Schizosaccharomyces pombe: one gene and its partners. The protein of the gene in region 4 purifies or fractionates together with the protein of the main gene of each other region. This does not show direct contact. Each region holds a gene or a part of one and is shown on either strand. Other genes may lie near its edges.

Region 1 (3,391 bases), 2.6 Mb from region 4:
TGAGAATATTATAAAGAATGCTAGGCCTGATTTGTCTTCTGCCGAAAGAGTTGTTGCTGGTGGTCGACCTTTGAAAGACAAAGAGACATTTGAACGCATCCTTACACCTTTGGCTGACAAATTGGGTGCAGCAATTGGTGCTACACGTGTTGCCGTGGATTCTGGCTATGCTGATAATTCTTTACAAATAGGTCAAACTGGAAAAATCATCGCCCCAAAGCTTTATATTGCTGTTGGAATTGATGGTGCTATTCAGCATCTTGCCGGAATCAAAGATAGCAAAGTCATTGCTGCTATAAATCGCGATGAAAATGCTCCTATCTTTCAAACAGCAGATGTGGGAATTGTAGGTGACTTATTTGAAATCGTCCCGGAGCTTACTGAAAAACTTTGAAAATCATGTTGAGGAATGATTCCTTATTTTTCATAATATCACATTTATTTCAAATTTCACATCTTTTTAGAAGTTAATAAAATACACGTTTATTTAACTGGGTACTCGTAATAAATTAAGGAAATTTTTGATGTAATATTTAATTATATACCAGTGAAACAACTCTGAAGTCGTTTTATACATACATTTATGAAGCCACCTCAGCAAAGCTATCGTAGGTTGATTATCAAACATTTCAACGTATGAGAAAGAAAGGGATTTTTTTAGCGGTCTAGATATTTAACCAGAGATAAATGATAGAAACATGGAAAACATAGAATACGCATACACTCTCAGCAATACTTCAATGTCATCACAAAGCAAATCTATTAAAAGAAAATAAAATGCAAAGGCCGATTGATATTGCCAATAATTTTAAATTCTCTGACAAAAATAAGGGTGCGAAAAGAGAATATTTTCATAATATTTAAAACCCACGAGAAGCACCGCGGCCTCTGCCTCTAGTTCCACGGCCACGTCCACGTCCACGACCTCGTACTACCTCTTTCTTCTTTTGTTTTGGCTTTGTGCTATCATCAATTAAAAGGGTATCAAGTGGTAACGAGTCTGGGAGGATGTAGTAGCGTATGTTATTTCCACGAATTGACAGAGTTTCTACAGGCACTGGCTCTCTACCTTTGACAGTCATTTTAACAGCTTTTAAATGGGTATTCATTTGCATATCAACAGAAGTAATCGTTCCGTGAACAATTGTGCCTACGCGATTTGGTAAGTTTGGTTCATTTATTATACGAAAGTAAGGCTTTACGTACCATTTTTTAACTCAATAGAGACAGTTTCATTCGTCAGCTTCATTAAAAAGCTAAACTCGTTAGGAATATGTATAGATTTTTTATCATACTTACCGTACCAACTTCATGGTGTGTGCTTTGGTGTTCCTGGCAACTGCAAAAATCAAGTATTATGTTCGACTAAAACACATCAACAATAGATAAAATCATCAATTTTATGTTAAGATATAATGGATTCTGAAGTTTTACTAGTCCAAAATAGCTTTGTGATATTAATAGGCTGATCTTCATGTGCATTTATTTTTCCAGTATCTGAGAATAAAGTTGAGAAGCTAAGACTTCTTAATACAGATTCGACTGTTGAAAAAGCTTGATACTAATTTTAATAATTAAGTGAAAGCACTCATTAGTCTAAATAAATGGGTTTCGAACCCAATACTCGAATGAGCTTTAAGGCATCAAATTTTAGAGATAAAATTATTATGTATCGCATGTCATTTGTTTTAATCATTTATTTTATACAATTTAAGACATTTTATTCAAATACAAAATTCAAAGCTTTGGCTATTCAATATAAGAAGATTACCAAGTGAATTTTCACGAATTGAATTATTTTTTATTGTCCCGTAAAGCTCGCGCTAAAGCTGAACAGAAACTTTCATAAACATTATAATCATATCCTTCAATCCATTTACACTGCAATTGATTATCTATTACGTTCAGTTCACATTTCATTTGTCCTTCCAGACTAGAAACAGAAGTTTGACTTTTGGATATCCGTCGAGCTTTACGAGACCAAGTGATAGATTTTGTTGATATTTCCAAAACGGATCCTTTTTTAGACCACGGAATTTTGTTATCATCTAAGAATTTCTGTAGAATGTCATCAATTTGAGCACATAATTCTGGGTCTAAAGTCCAATTCTGAAGAACCTTATGGGGGAAATATTTAGAAAGGGAAGTTGAAGAAGGACGTATAAGTTCCTTTGGATCCTTTTGTTAGTATCATGAATTTTAAATATCGTTCGATAGCAGCATACATTGTGTGGACGCATAGCCTGAAATGACCAGCAAATTATCCAGCGCTTAGTCTTTCCAAGTGCGAGTTCGTAAATTCCATAATTTGATATCTTACAGATATAAGTTAAAAAAATTTTAAAGGCTAGTTAGGACTTACATTTTGTTCACGCAATTTATCAACCACAGCAGGTACACTTGATTTTTTGCCAAACATACAGGTATACCATTGAATTCCTTTCCTTTTTTTACTTTCAGTTAAGATTTTATTGGCAAATCCGACTTCACCACCCTCTGTAACCATTTCATGATAAACTCCAGTACAAACACCCGATGGTGGATTTTGCTTAAAATTTATGAAATCTTCCTCATGTTCATAAAATGGGGGATTACACATCACAAAGGTAAATTCTTCCATCCCTTCGGTATCAGGGAGTAAGCAGTCTTGTTTAGAACGAAGCACAATTTTGATCTGGGATTCCATGTTATTTTGAAGAATATTGCTCTTGGCTGTTTCAAAAGAAAATTTGTCAATTTCTAGAGTTTTGAGTAATTAGTAAAAGCCTGTGAAAAATCAAAGCTTACCGGTGCCAACGAAATCATATGAGTACATACGACAGCCTAATAATGGGTATATACAACTAGCGCCGGTACCAATATCCAAACCAATGATTCTTTTTTTATCCTTTTGCCCAGATGTACTTGACAACAGGTCATGAATATATCTTATATAAGTGGCTCTGAAAAGTTGGTTATAAATGATGAATAAACAATGTGTTAATATACCGGTTTGGAACCTTTAAATGAATTAGCATTTATGAGAGAAGGGAAATGTTTGTTTAAAAGAAACATTGGTGATGCTACACATCTCTTACCATTGGACATAGACGATTCTCAGGAAATTCAACACGAAGAGAATAATCCCGATCCAGAATTGCTTTTCCTAACGTACTAATTTATAGGTAAGCAATCGTTTAACATATGTGAGTTTACCAACCGAATAGCATCTTCGTTCCAAAAATCAATGCGACCATTTTTGACGCTACGTTCAATTAGTATATAAATTGGCATTGAGAACGCCCTACAAAGATCTCAAGTCGGGATAATCCCTTGCTAAACTATCGAAATTTATAATATCAGTTTTATCAGTCATATTTTTGAGTACGTAAATTTTTTTTGCTATATCGCC
Region 2 (6,309 bases), on a different chromosome or scaffold from region 4:
AATAATACCGCCGGCTTTCTTCAAGCTTTCGACAATTGACGCATCAAACGGAGAATTGTAGTCTAGTTAAACCGCAATTAGTAACTGAAATATATTCTTATTGTCTACCCTTCAACATATTAGAGGCTGCCGTGGTTAAATTTGTCTTCGTGCAAATATTTTCCTTTACTGTAATCAGTTTCCATTTTAACGGAAGCTTCTTTTCCAGTGGTAATTTACTAATTTCAACAAATGAATCATATAGATATTCGGCACTATTTATTGAAGTTAAAGACTTAATTTTCGCATCATTTAGAATGATACTAGCATATTTAGCTGCAACTTCTTTTAATAAATTGTTATATTTATTACTCATTCGACCAATCAATCATTGGACGTTAACTTCGTGCAAATAATGTATTACCCAACTTGTTGTATAGTTGAATAAAGTAGTGAGCTATTATCGGTATGACACCTAAGACTTTTTCTGAGGGGATCAACTTTTTATTGTTTGTAAAGCTCACTATTTAGTTTTTTAAATAAGTTAATTATGCAAAAAAGCAATGAAATAAAATGACTTTAATCTTACAAATAATCATTAATTCAATACAACAAGCAAATAGTCTATATGAAGTAGGTTTTTATTTTAATTCGTATTTAACCTTTTTTTAGTCATTTCAACAACATAGTTTGAGAGATGAAGTAAATTTTCAATTTCAAATGTTTCAACGGAAGATCCGATTTTGTGAGAACTTGGATATATTTCTCCCGTGGTTAAAAGCAGCTTGTCAGGAGTCTTTTCAATTTCATTCCACAGTTTTTCAAGACCACGTGTAGAGCGAAAAAGGTCACGGTTGCACAATACGTACAGACCATATGAGCATGCTGAAAAGGCTTTATAAAATGTTTTTGGATTCCAATGATCAGAGGCCTCTTTAGATTCAACTGTCGTAAATATAACAAAGTTTACCCGTTTATCGCTTGGTAATTTTTCCACGGTACCTACAAAAGCAGGCTGACCAAAAAACGAGTTATGAGAACAGCGTACCGATATAATTTCATTTAAAAGGCTGACTTGACTCTCATAAAGCGTACAGATTACAATTTCGTTGGTGGGATAACCTAACATTCGCATGTACTGGAATAAGGCAACTGCGTACTCGGCTTCTCCAAGATTTTGCTTATAACCGCTAACGGGTTCTGTTTCTTGAGAACCTTTAAAAGCTCCCACATTAATAAATTGGACCTCATGTGCAAACCCCGAATTACCATAATCAAGTCTTTTATTGGGACTAGAATCCACAGTTTTGATGTCCAAAGGATAAATTGATGAACATAGAGAACTGATAGATTCTCTAACATTGTATTGCGTATTAAGGTCAATAATTCTGGATTTCAAATACCGCAAACGTTTGAAAAGTGAACCATTTGACGTATTATTTATATCCTGATTCCCAGAGGTAAGATATTGATTACCCAGAAGAACAAGGCGATCAAAACCAGTTGGTTCACAGTTTGAAAGTAGTATGCTAGTGATAGAGCTTTCACTTATATTTTGTGAGTTCATAACAATTAAATTGTTAAAGCAAAATCCCTTTTCTTTCAAAGTCCCTAAGCGTGTACTTAAGCTCGTCCAAGTGCATCCGATAATCCTAGATTGTTGGCATAATGCATACAATTCTTGATCTTCATAATATCTCAGTAATCCAAAAGGCCGGATCTCTTCCAGCTGTTGGAACATATATTCTAACTCCCCGTATAACTTTGTCGCATAATCGAAAAAATTATCTTTATTATACGTTTCTATCGGACGCTTAGATTTGTCACCGAAATACGAATGGAAAGGGAACCTGTTATAGGCATCCACAGAATCCTTATCATCTACCGTGTTCAAGTACTTTTCCCAAAGTCGCTTAATATAAGCATCCCTAAAATACAAAGCCGTATCTGGGCTGGCGTCATGAGAACCTGGAGCCTGGATTGAAGCAGCTAGGCGACCGATTTCTCGTAGAAGACCAGGAAGCTTAGATATCCAAGACGATAAAGTACCATAACGTTCCAACGTTTCGTCTTTTCCTTCATCAGATAGATATAATAGGTGCCCTTGGTGAAAACATCTAGCTTTTTCCAGTAAGGTAAACAAAGTATTCATAGAGAAATTGGAGTCAGAAAGTACAACGGTTCTATCATTGGGAGATGTGTCTTGTAAAACCTCTAGAAGTTTGCATACCAAAACATGTTTTCCACAACGAGTTGGACCATTAACCATAGTTAATCCTGGTTGAGATCCACGTAAAATCGATTCTAGCTGTTTGTCATTGTAAGTATATAATCGATTTGATGGTAGTAAAAAATGCCTATCAGATGCGGTAACATCAGCTGATATTTTGTTCTGATTAGTATAAAATTTGATTAGTAAAGATTCAGTTGATAAATTAGAAGGTACATGACAATTAGGAAGTACTGATTGCAACTGTTCGACTGTATTGAACAAGTTTCTAGCATAAATAGAATTAAGCCCAGCATTAGGAAAAGCACATATATCAGGCGTTCCAAAACCCAAAAATAAATCTTCGAACCATTTAGGAAATTCTTTAGCGCGATTAAGTAAAGATACAAGAATATTTAAGTCCAACCAATACTTATTTGCCTCAGGAGACAGTACCAAAGCAAAGTTGAACTTCAATTGCTTAGGGCGATATTCCCCCAACCCCGCAAGGGAATGATAATAAAATGGGCTTAGGTATACATTGATGGACTTGTTGTCAGAATCTGACTGCATATCGCTTTGAAACATTCCAACATCATCATTGCATATCGTCGCGATTGTAAAATCAGTCACCCCTTCTAAGGGGTCAAGCGCATTACCATGTAATAACTTGTACTCCATATCTTTAGAAATGTATATTAAGCAAAGAAAAGGGCTCTTGATGGAATTCTTTAAATCACGTAACGCTGAATGAAAAGGTCCAGGTCGACTTAAACCCATTTGACACTTTACAAATTGAGGTAAAACTTGACCGATTTGAGGTGGAGCAACGGAGGTAACTTTAAAGTTATTTAAAGAGAAAAAATTATCTTTGGTCAAATTCTTGGTCGCATTTTTAATTGATAGTCTCCTGTATTGTTCACTGAAATTTAAAAGTTCAGCATATAGTGACCTTAACAATAACTTTTTGTAAGCTTTACTCTGTTGTCTCATAAAAAAAGATATAGAAAGATATTGTATAGCAGTGTTTTGTAGTAGGAAGTAATTGGTCAAAGAGTTTTCTTGGTCCATCACGGATCGCTCACCAAGTACATCTTTCAAAGTAAAATTTATGATTTCATCATAATCATTTACCAATCTAGTCCTATCATACGTGTTAATAAAAACATTTTTTAAAAATTCGAAATCCACTTTTATAGCATATTTTTCGGGAAATGAAGTCCTCAAATAACATTTACTACACAAGGACTTAAGTGAATTGAAGGAAAGAAAAGACGTAATTTCCTCCAATTTTTGTCGCTGTTGTAAAGAGGTTTGTGTGCAAAATACCAGATCCCCTAATTCCTTCTGAAAATCCGAAAATAAAGTTAACTGTAAGTGGTAGTACACAAGCTCATCATTTCTGATTTTTTGTTCTTTCTCATATTCGTTACCTCTGGTATTATCAAAAGGGAATTTCAAAACATAGTTTAAGTCGTCTGTCATTTTTTTAAAAAGCTCATTACTGTCGTAATACAAAGACATTCTTAATGCGGTATAAAAACAACTGTCTTCTATTACGGGATGAGCAAAGCGACGTGTGGGAAATGCGGATAGTAAAACCAAAGACATATTGATAATTGCTAAAAGGGGGGTTACTTTCGCTTCTTGTTTTTCAGTTTGAGCGTAGCTAATCGATTTAATAAGCAGAGAATGAATCCAGCGGGAAAGTAAATTATGTAAAGGGAACTTTTCAACGATAGACGGTCGTTTTTCCTTATAAGAATCAAAGGCTTTCGTCAGAGAGCTTGAGTCATGTAGTAAATATTTTACTTTATCAAGATTATCAAGCGAATTTAAAATAGAAATGTTCGTTAACTGGTAAACAAGTTTCCTTAATTTCTCTATATTCGAAAACTGAAAACAGAGAGTAATGAATTGAATCATGTAAACCACTTCTGATAAATTTAAGGATAAAGAGACTTCAATTACTTTTTCAAAAAATAATTGAAACCGATTTTCATCAATGAGGTCCCATGTAATATATTCATATTTGGATTTGTATAATAGAAGCATACAAGTTAAGTTTATATGGTTCAATGACATCTCAGTATTAACCCTCTGCCAAAGGAAATTCTCAAAAAGCTTTAACTCATGTAACAGACTAAGTACTTGCTTAGCATCTTTACTTACAATGACAGCTTCGAGGATGCATTGTAGCATAGTTTCTTGAAATTCTACACCTTCATTTTGACCCCAATTCGAATTTGCATAATTAATGATTTGTTTTTTTTTGTTTTTATACAGAACCATTTAATAGAGAAAGGGATATTAGCAATATCACAAGTGTTGTGAACTTGGTGGTTAGCGTCAGAATCTTTAACAGCGATTCTTATTTGTTCTCCTCTATGAGCTTTGAGAAAAATGTAAAGTAAAAAACTTAAAGTAATACTTCGAAAATAAAATTTAGATAATCAACACTCGTTTTTGGTATTTTACCAAAGTTCCTAAGTTTAGACTTTTTTTAATAAAACTTGGATTTTTTGAGAACACTAAATATTAACTTGTATATCTATTACAAATAATTAATCGTCATAAAAATATTACTTTTTCAATCGTGTTTCTATTGATCTCCTCTCTGCGTATACTAAGAATTAGGTGCAAAAGTACAGCAGGTGCTTGTTTGGTCACCACCAACCACATTTAATAATTTTGTTTAATTGAGAGAATGATGCTAATTTAAGCTGTATATAATGAAAGAATTTCCTGGGTTGAAAAGCAGGAATGAAGAAATTCGCAATAAAGCGGCAAATGATCTTTATGAATATGTTATAGCTTATTCTCGAGAATTATCGGGCGAAGCTTTAGTTCAGTTTAACAATGATGTTAACAAGTACGTTTATACTTTAATTCACAGTACCGATCCACTCGATCGTCTGGCAGGCGTAACTGCCATAAATCGTCTAATTGATTATGAAGGAGAAGATACTACAAGGATTACTAGATTTGCAAATTATTTGCGTATTATTCTTCCAGGAACTGACCAAAAAGCCACCGTTCTTGCTGCAAAAGCTTTAGGGAGACTTGCAGTTCCTGGAGGTGCTCTAACTTCTGAATTTGTGAACTTCGAAGTTAAACGCGCTTTGGAATGGCTTCAAGGAGAACGTAATGAAAATCGTAGATATGCAGCAGTGCTTATACTTAAGGAGCTTGCCAAAAATACGTCTACATTAATCTATGCTCATATCGATTCAATTTTTGAGCTTTTATGGCATGGACTTCGGGATCCAAAAGTTACTATTCGAATAGCTTCGGCTGATGCGTTGAGTGAGTTCTTGAAAATCGTTAGGCAAAGGGATTCATCCATCCGTCTCCAATGGTATACAAGTATTCTCAATGAAGCTCAACGTGGTGTTGCACAGGGTTCTTCTGATTACATTCATGGTAGTTTACTAGTATATCGCCAATTATTTTTAAAAGCTGGAATGTTTATGCATGAGAGGTATCGAGAAGTATCGGACATTATATTGCAATTCAGAGATCACAAAGATTTGCTTATTCGCAAAACCGTTACAGAATTGATTGCTACACTCGCAGCTTATAATCCAGATGAATTTGTTTCCAATTATTTACACGTTTGTATGCTCCATCTACTTAATCTATTAAAAAAAGAAAATGTTAAGATGTTGGCGTTTGCCACTATTGGAAAAGTTGCCGTGGCTATTACTAATAGCATAATCCCATATCTTGACCCCATATGCGATTCAATCAAGGAAAGTCTAAAAATCCATATCCGTAATAAAAGTGCTTCGGATGCTGCAATTTTTCAATGCATTAGCCTACTTTCTATAGCACTAGGACAAGCCTTTTCAAACTATGCGTATGACCTCTTTGACTTAATATTTGCAAGCGGACTTTCTGAGGCTTCTTACCGTGCTCTCTCAGATCTGGCCCATAATATACCTCCATTATTACCAGTCATACAGGAACGACTATTAGATATGCTCAGCAAAATTCTAAGTGGTCGTCCTTTTATTCCTCCAGGATGTCCTCCCCAATATGTAGCAAGATCTTTAAAATCTTCAAAGAGTGCTTCCCTGAAGACAGGATTTTTTCCCAATGACGTCTATATTTTGGCTCTA
Region 3 (3,441 bases), 1.1 Mb from region 4:
ATCAATTCTATACATGATGATTACGTTGAATCTAATGAGGAGACTACGAGAGAAGAAACTCCATCTTCTGATAAAGTTTTACGAATTGTTCGACTTTATCGTGACAAAAATGGAAATTTGGAACGTAAACAGGAAACCATTCATGACCCGATAGTCATCCATGCCTATCTGAAGAAGAGGCGTGAGATTGACGAACAATCAACTGCTCTTGATGCCGTCGTACCAACTGGAGACGAAGCAATTGATAGACGCAACCGAAGGCGTCTTGAACAAGAACTTGCCAAGAGTCAGAAGAATTGGGAGCGACGAAGAGCTCGACATGCTGCCAAAGAAGGAATCAACTTGAACGGAGAAGGACGAAAACCCACTACTCGCAAATGTAGTAACTGTGGTCAAGTGGGCCACATGAAGACCAACAAAATATGTCCCTTATTTGGTAGACCTGAAGGAGGTTTGGCTACTATGCTCGACAAAAACTAAAATAATACTGAGTGTTATAAAGAATATTTGACATCTCATGATGGGCGTCGATCGCTCCTTTTTTGTTTATTGGTGATGAATCTAATTATAACGATATTCATTGTAGAAAATGTTAATAATCAATTTATGTTTATGAAATCAAATATATAGTTGACGAACTTCACGTGAAAATGAGTTGAAACTTTCAAATTTTTCGCGCAATAGCACCCTTCATATTAAAATAGCAGCAAATTGCCTTGGCATATCCTTCAAATAAAAAATTGGTAATATAAGGCTTGTTATGAATACTCCCATATGCTGCAAGTTCCTTTACATCAGTGTTTCTTGGCAAAAATGCAGCAACATAAGGGGATATCCTAGTTGCTTCTTTAAATAGAACATCAAAAGCATATGGGTTTAGGTCATTTAATGAATATACTGTTTTTCCTGAGTAACTAGGTCCACCCCAAGGAGGACTCATAAAAACAAGAGACTAGAAAATATTGTTAAACACAGAATTAATATATAAGATTATCTATACCCTGTAATCTTTAGCAAACTGCAAAGATTTAAAAGTGTCAAGAACGTCTCCTTGAATGAAAGTGACTCGAGATGAAGGAATGCCATAAATTTCCAAATTATGCTTTGCCATAGCGATTTTGATAGGATCGATCTCAATTGAGATTACTGAAACAAAAGCGTTAATAAACAGTGATATGATACAGATGTAAGGTTGATAACAAACTATTACAAACGAACCTGGGCAATACTTGGCAAACTGAATAGTGTTTCCACCACATCCAGAGAAGGCATCAATTATTAGCTCGGGCTGTATAAAATCTACAACCGACTTCGCGATAGCAACAGCTACTTTTCTAATTATAATTTGTCAGACCCATTCAAATGCAAACAACAAAATCACTGATATTAATACATGAATGCTATTATACATACTCGGGGGTAACACTATACCATGACTGATAATCCAACCAGATTCCTTCATCAAATCGTGAAAATAAATTGTATCGATTGTTCCAATATTTTTTAAGAGCTTTGGGAACCGGAGGACATATGATACATTTTTTTAATAGCTCATCTTCGTCGAGTTCTTCGTTCTTGTTCATTCAAATTTTTTTTTCGATTAAACTACTTTTTTGTGAAATTTAGTCAACAATCGTTCACGATCAACCCGAAATTTATCGATATTCGTTGCTAATCCAAAAGTCCTTAATTAACCGTTACTGAATTGACGAAATTTGAAGTGTGTTCAAAAAATTCGGTGTTTTGTTACTCAAACTCCAAAAATTGTGAATGAAAAGTTCAATGCTCTTTCAGAATAATAAAGCAATGAAATCAGACACATATACAGCTAAATATGAAAAACATGAAAAAGAATTTATCTTTGACTTATTCACGAATTTCGTTTGCTTCCTTCATCAACATATATATATATACCATGGGAATCGATATGTTACAATTTAAATAAAACTCATTGTCTGCTTATAAGAAAATTTATTCAATTTAAGCATTTTATAATCCTTTTACAATTTGTTAAAAAGGATGTCAGTAATTGTGTTTAGAAAAGTATTTAGTAATATATATATTTTTTGTCAATAAATATTTTATTACATATTTTTTATCGGTGTTGCCATCGATCTGTATCGATAGGAAGCAATTTCACTAAACTTATTGAAATTAAGGTAATAATATAATTTTAACAGAAAATTAATTGATTGTGAAAATATGTTAATTTTTGTACTGTAATGTTTTTCATTTCTATTTATTTGCATTTGAAAATTATTTTTCGTTAAGCGAATTCAAGAAGCCCTATGACGGTACCATAAAATATTAAAACGCAGTAACTCCATGATCGCTATATTGTATTTATATTATATTCTGACTACGAGTATCCTTTTAAGTGTTAGCTTTATGCTACGAATAAACGACGATGACCATCCAAATGAGAAAATAGGATTTATATCTGCTATAAAAGGAGATTTCCATGATCTATCTTCTGATTATTTAAAAAGAATTGCCGCAATGGCATTTCCTATTATGAAGGAGCATGGATTCGGAGTCACTTCGTTGGATGAGGTTGCTTACAATGCAAAATTTTGGGGAAGAAACTGGAATAAGGGAGAATGTATTGAGCTTGTCCTTAGAGACGCTTCAAATCGATGGTTACCATTTGAATTTGTCATGGACGTGTTTTTACACGAACTCTGTCATATTTGGCAGGGGCCGCACGATCGTCGGTTTTTCAGTCATTTATCAACTCTTCGAGCTGCCCTGATTGCTCTTTACGCCAAAGGTTATAAAGGCCCTGGAAAGTACATGACTTGGGATTCATTTGTCCTTGCCAATGTAGTAGGAAATTATAACACCGTTGTATTTAACGGAATAACTTTGGAACGCAGCACAATGCATGGTGTGGAAACTTGTGGTGGATCTTTGCAAAGAAAAAAGAAAATCAGAAGAAAGCCTACCCCTTCCTCAACAAAGAAGCGGAAGCTTACACGAACAGGACAAAAGCTTGGAACTGATATGAACATAAGATTAGAGCTTTTGAAATCACCTGCAAAACCCCAAGCTCAAAGCATGCGCGGAAGGGAAGCCCGAATTGCAGCGGCACTTCTCCGAGTCGACAATTCTAATGAATATAAGCCTAAAGATCACAATAGCTCTACAACCTTGGAAAACTATTTCGTAGTAGAATAAATTAGACAACAGAATAAATACATAAAAAAGAAAAAAATTTGTATACAAAATCAAATCACCTTTAAATTGTAGCATTTTTTGGGGGACATTTCGTACTAGAGTAACACGATTAACAAAGAGAAATAATGAATACATTAAAACAAACAGCTTTCATTTAAAGACTAATATATCTCTTAATGATTGATAAACCAATAAAAATGTATTAAAACAAAATATCATAAAAAATGGCAGAAAGTATTGTTCAAAAAAAAACACATAGAAATG
Region 4 (3,969 bases):
CGTTTTTTTTATTCTTCTTGCTGAAGTTTGGTTTTTTATGTGTTTACAATTTTCAGCAAAATAACGCACACCACTACACTTCGTAAAGCACCGCTCGGGAATGCTGAGATTGCCCTGAATTCGACAGCGGAATTCAGTTTTACCTTATTATCTACCGCCATTGATTTACTGAAATTCAAATTACAACCCATACAAATCAATATCTTCTAGTGATCCAATATTAAAAACGAGAATAGTAACTTTAATAATATTCTCAATTGTTTTTACAAACGTACACGGTCGGTTATAACTGCTGTTTTGAAAGTCTGAGTCATATTCCTCTGTTTCCTAATTATCATTTTCCGCATTTCAAAACGTATCTTTTAGTTTTGTATATATACTTAGTTATGTTGCTTGAAGAAATTTTGTCTTTCCTTATCAAATTTGTGGTTATTTCCGCATTCACCATTGCGTTTCTTCTGATTTTGCCAACGTTGAGTGCTATTGTCTTGGACATTGTGGTATGCGGATACCTTGCTTTGTACCGACTTTATGAAATTGGAGGCGGTTGCATCCAAAAGCCTTCAAAAGCCGTTCACCCAAAGTCCTCTTAATTCCGTTACAGTCTTAGCTGGCTTTCGAGTTTTGATTCTTTTTTTAATAGATTGTCCTTCTGTTTTTTGTTTTTAAAACATATAAGTTGTTTTCTCCTCTTAATATCCTCAGAACGTTTCTTTGCTTTGATATATTTGGCCGTCCAGTTTATTTTTTTTCCTTTTTCTGCCGCCAATTAAAAAATTTATAAAAGAATGCTTAAGTAAAGCTGACCATCCAACTGGTTATTATTTTTCACTTGCTTGTATACTCTTGCTAATATGTTTTGTGCTTTTTTCCCTATCCTTTCTCCCTTATTAATTTTATAAATACGCAACAAAAAAATGGTTCTCCAAAATACATAATTTAATATTTCACATTCATACTGATTGTGAATTCAATAATCAGAAATAAATAATTCGTTAAAATAAAACAAAAAAGAAGAAAACTACTGCTGTTTTTGGTGATTTCGTGTTCCTTTTTTCCTACAGTACTATTACATTTCTCTGTTTTCGCTAAGAAGCTTTTGTTTATGAGTCGTTATCATTACGTTTTCATTTCATTAGTTTCTACCTCAATTATTAGAAAAATGTTCAGACATCCATCTCTCCCCCAACTTTATTGCATAGTCTCGCTCAAGAAATTTCCGCCGTTCTTCAAGTTTTTTGTCTCGTAAGGTTAACACATCTTCTGTGTTTTTTCTCTGCTGTTGTGTAACCTTAGCATGAATCTCCTTTAAAGATAGAAGTTGCTCTTCTCTTTCTTTTTCGTCAAAAGAAAACTGGTAAAATGCCGTACCTTTATTCCTTACTTCCTTAGTCGAGTCATAATGAACTGCTTGCTGCTCATCTTCCTTCCACAATTTTTGAACCTTTTCTTCGTCTACTTCGAAGGATGGCATATAGTCACCGTATATTGGCTTTTCGGGCTTGTACTCCTCCTTTTGTGAAAGTAGGGTATTACCGGTCTCGTAAATAGAGACACTCCTGGTTCGCCCAAATTCATCCGTTATTTCAACTGTTTCATTTTCGGGTGCTTCCTCAGCCCATTTGCGTGTGAAGTCGACAAGGATTCCATCATCTTCTGTCTCCTTTATTTCCAGTTCTCCGGCAGCATACTGGTCGTATTTTTTAGCTTTTCGTTCCAGTTCCAGACGACTTCTTTGCAACAGCTCTTCCTCATTAGCTTGTTCAGTTTTTAAAGTTCCTTTTCTTTCCTCGTCCTTTCTTTTTTTGATAATATTACTTTGAAATTCCTTGTTGGATTTTCTTTTTTGTTTTACCAGTAATTTCCTTTTGGTCGTCTCGTTATCATTGGCTTCCAATAATTTATCGGTATACTTTTGATGGCTAATCTTGCGCTTCTCGTCCTCGTATCGCTTTTTTTCCTCAATTAGTTCATTAAGGAAGTTAAGATTGCTTTTAGCTGAGACTTGAATTTCGGATTTCTTTCCAACATTCATCTACTCGATACTTCAATTTTTTTAATTAATTTAATAATTATTTTCAATTCTTTTAAATTATTGAGAATGTGTAAATATATCAAAACATTCAAGTTATTGCAGAAAGCCGTAGTTTGCTTACTCCTGTACAAAAATAACAGGTCCAAAAGAACAGCAATTACTTTCTTCAATTCAATTATGCTTCTACAATACACTTAACCCAGTAAAACAATTACCAATTTATTTTCGTCGTTTTGGAGTTGTAAGGTGTCTTTTCCTCACCTGGGTTATTTCGCCATAGGCGCTGCGTTTCGCTATGCTAATCACAACTTCCAATCCAGTTACTTGATTTCTATCTTTACCCAGCACGACTTGTTCAATAGTACAAGTTATGAACGTTATTGATGATTGACTATTCTTTTCCACATAACGTTTTAGCCTTCATAGAGGAAAAATACTTATACACGTAAATTTTTTAATCGTTTGTGTTTACAATTAAAAGTGAATACACATTATAGCTTTAAATGTTCTTTTGATCGTGTTTATTGCATTGAGCCTGACAGTAACTTAAGATTATTGAAAAAATCATCCGAATAATTCTTATTGCTCAATACTGACTCAGAAGCGACTTCTGCACGATCTAGCTTTCAAAATATTGTCGCATAGTTTGACGTATTTGTATAAAAATATTTGAAAACATTAAATTACATACACAAGTAATATCTATTATGTGATTGGGAATTATAATTTCTTATACTTATTGTTTATGCAATTGGGGGAAGTACGAACTCACCAACGGGTCATTAATATATGTTAGAACTTTATCCTCATCACAATAAGAAGAAGCAACTAATTAAAGGATTTCATATCCAGCTATATTACAAAAGTAACTATATTAAAATACAATGCTATTCATCTTTAACTTCTTCATAAAAGGTGGGTAGCACAGCAAGCACAGTGTCTAATATAGTCAGTCCATTATCCAAAAAAGTGAACGATCCCTCTAAGTGAGTGCCATCAACAGTGTTGTTCAGTAAATCAGATTCCAAAATTACTTCTAGTCTTTCCTTATTTGTATCTTGAGAATATTTAGATCCGGGTGGATCCCAAACGATAAACACTGCTTTGCATAAAGATTGGTTTGAAAAATTCAATAGCGTTTTAGAAACTAACTTGACTGTTAAGTACTCTTGTTCAACGACTTTCCCAGTCAAATATCGTGGACCAAGAGTTCTCTGGATGTAGTCGCGCGCTTGCTGTGTAGAAAATCTACTAATTCCATCAGGCTCAAATAGTTCATCATTTGGCATGAATTTGGTATTATTGGATTCAATGAAATTGACTGAACTATCACTTGTCCTATCACTTTGCGATTTGTCCCATAAGCCTTTATAATTGTCAACATGTATACTAGCCAATGCCCGCTGCAATCTACCGGGAAGTTTAGTTGATAGCCTCTTATTAGAAATTAATTCAGTTTCTGCTTGCTCTGCTAATAAACATGCGTCACGAATATTATCTTCGAATTCTGGTGCAACATTGTTATGCAAAACACTTAGCAGAAAATTTCTAACAATTTGACAAGCTATTTGCAAATCCTCTTCCTTAGTTAGTCCAGCGTTATACAAAATGTGTGACGACCTTAAATTGATTAGCTAAAATACAACGTGAATTAAATTCAATGGAAACATAAATGACTCACAGAAATACTCCAGCAACCCACTTAAAATCAATATCATATTCATCAAGTATATCGTATTCAATATAATCAGTCGTGGTTTGAGCGGAAACTTCTCGTGCCTTCGCATCGTTATTAATATCAGTACCCCCTGTAAACTGTTTTTGGCCCGTAGAAACGCCTCCTAAATCTAGATACATTGTAAACAGTCTTATTCTTGTAGGGTCGCTCCATTTTCTGCGTGATCGATATCTTTGAATAAATCGCTCCATTCGCC

The links.
Region 1: the proteins of ctr1 (region 4) and smd1 purify together in Schizosaccharomyces pombe (affinity purification with mass spectrometry, with the first as the bait; one study listed by BioGRID). This does not show direct contact.
Region 2: the proteins of ctr1 (region 4) and cwf11 purify together in Schizosaccharomyces pombe (affinity purification with mass spectrometry, with the first as the bait; one study listed by BioGRID). This does not show direct contact.
Region 3: the proteins of ctr1 (region 4) and tgs1 purify together in Schizosaccharomyces pombe (affinity purification with mass spectrometry, with the first as the bait; one study listed by BioGRID). This does not show direct contact.

Annotation. Positions count from the first base shown.
Region 1 is NC_003424.3:4,519,678-4,523,068, forward strand, and holds smd1 (Sm snRNP core protein Smd1), read right to left. Parts: upstream 1,338-3,391; 5' UTR 1,314-1,337; coding exon 1,300-1,313; exon of another isoform or gene 1,257-1,299; coding exon 1,207-1,256; exon of another isoform or gene 1,151-1,206; coding exon 861-1,150; 3' UTR 510-860; downstream 1-509. Other genes in the region: etf1 (electron transfer flavoprotein alpha subunit), read left to right, coding at 1-394; methyltransferase Mtl16, read right to left, coding at 1,795-2,169, 2,226-2,315, 2,363-2,739, 2,788-2,942, 2,989-2,999, 3,078-3,153, 3,200-3,273. UniProt on the Schizosaccharomyces pombe protein: Plays a role in pre-mRNA splicing as a core component of the spliceosomal U1, U2, U4 and U5 small nuclear ribonucleoproteins (snRNPs), the building blocks of the spliceosome.
Region 2 is NC_003423.3:920,896-927,204, reverse strand, and holds cwf11 (protein Cwf11), read right to left. Parts: upstream 4,534-6,309; 5' UTR 4,481-4,533; coding exon 626-4,480; 3' UTR 564-625; downstream 1-563. Other genes in the region: gta1 (glutamyl-tRNA amidotransferase alpha subunit), read right to left, coding at 1-62, 109-355; TORC1 serine/threonine protein kinase Tor2, read left to right, coding at 4,921-6,309. UniProt on the Schizosaccharomyces pombe protein: Involved in mRNA splicing where it associates with cdc5 and the other cwf proteins as part of the spliceosome.
Region 3 is NC_003424.3:840,908-844,348, forward strand, and holds tgs1 (RNA methyltransferase Tgs1), read right to left. Parts: upstream 1,719-3,441; 5' UTR 1,584-1,718; coding exon 1,414-1,583; intron 1,335-1,413; coding exon 1,219-1,334; intron 1,147-1,218; coding exon 1,001-1,146; intron 953-1,000; coding exon 665-952; 3' UTR 564-664; downstream 1-563. Other genes in the region: taf1 (transcription factor TFIID complex, histone acetyltransferase subunit Taf111), read left to right, coding at 1-480; DNA repair WLM domain metallopeptidase Wss1, read left to right, coding at 2,389-3,177. UniProt on the Schizosaccharomyces pombe protein: Catalyzes the two serial methylation steps for the conversion of the 7-monomethylguanosine (m(7)G) caps of snRNAs and snoRNAs to a 2,2,7-trimethylguanosine (m(2,2,7)G) cap structure.
Region 4 is NC_003424.3:1,900,385-1,904,353, reverse strand, and holds ctr1 (protein ctr1), read right to left. Parts: upstream 2,279-3,969; 5' UTR 2,036-2,278; coding exon 1,148-2,035; 3' UTR 513-1,147; downstream 1-512. Other genes in the region: arb1 (argonaute inhibitor protein 1), read right to left, coding at 2,923-3,655, 3,717-3,968.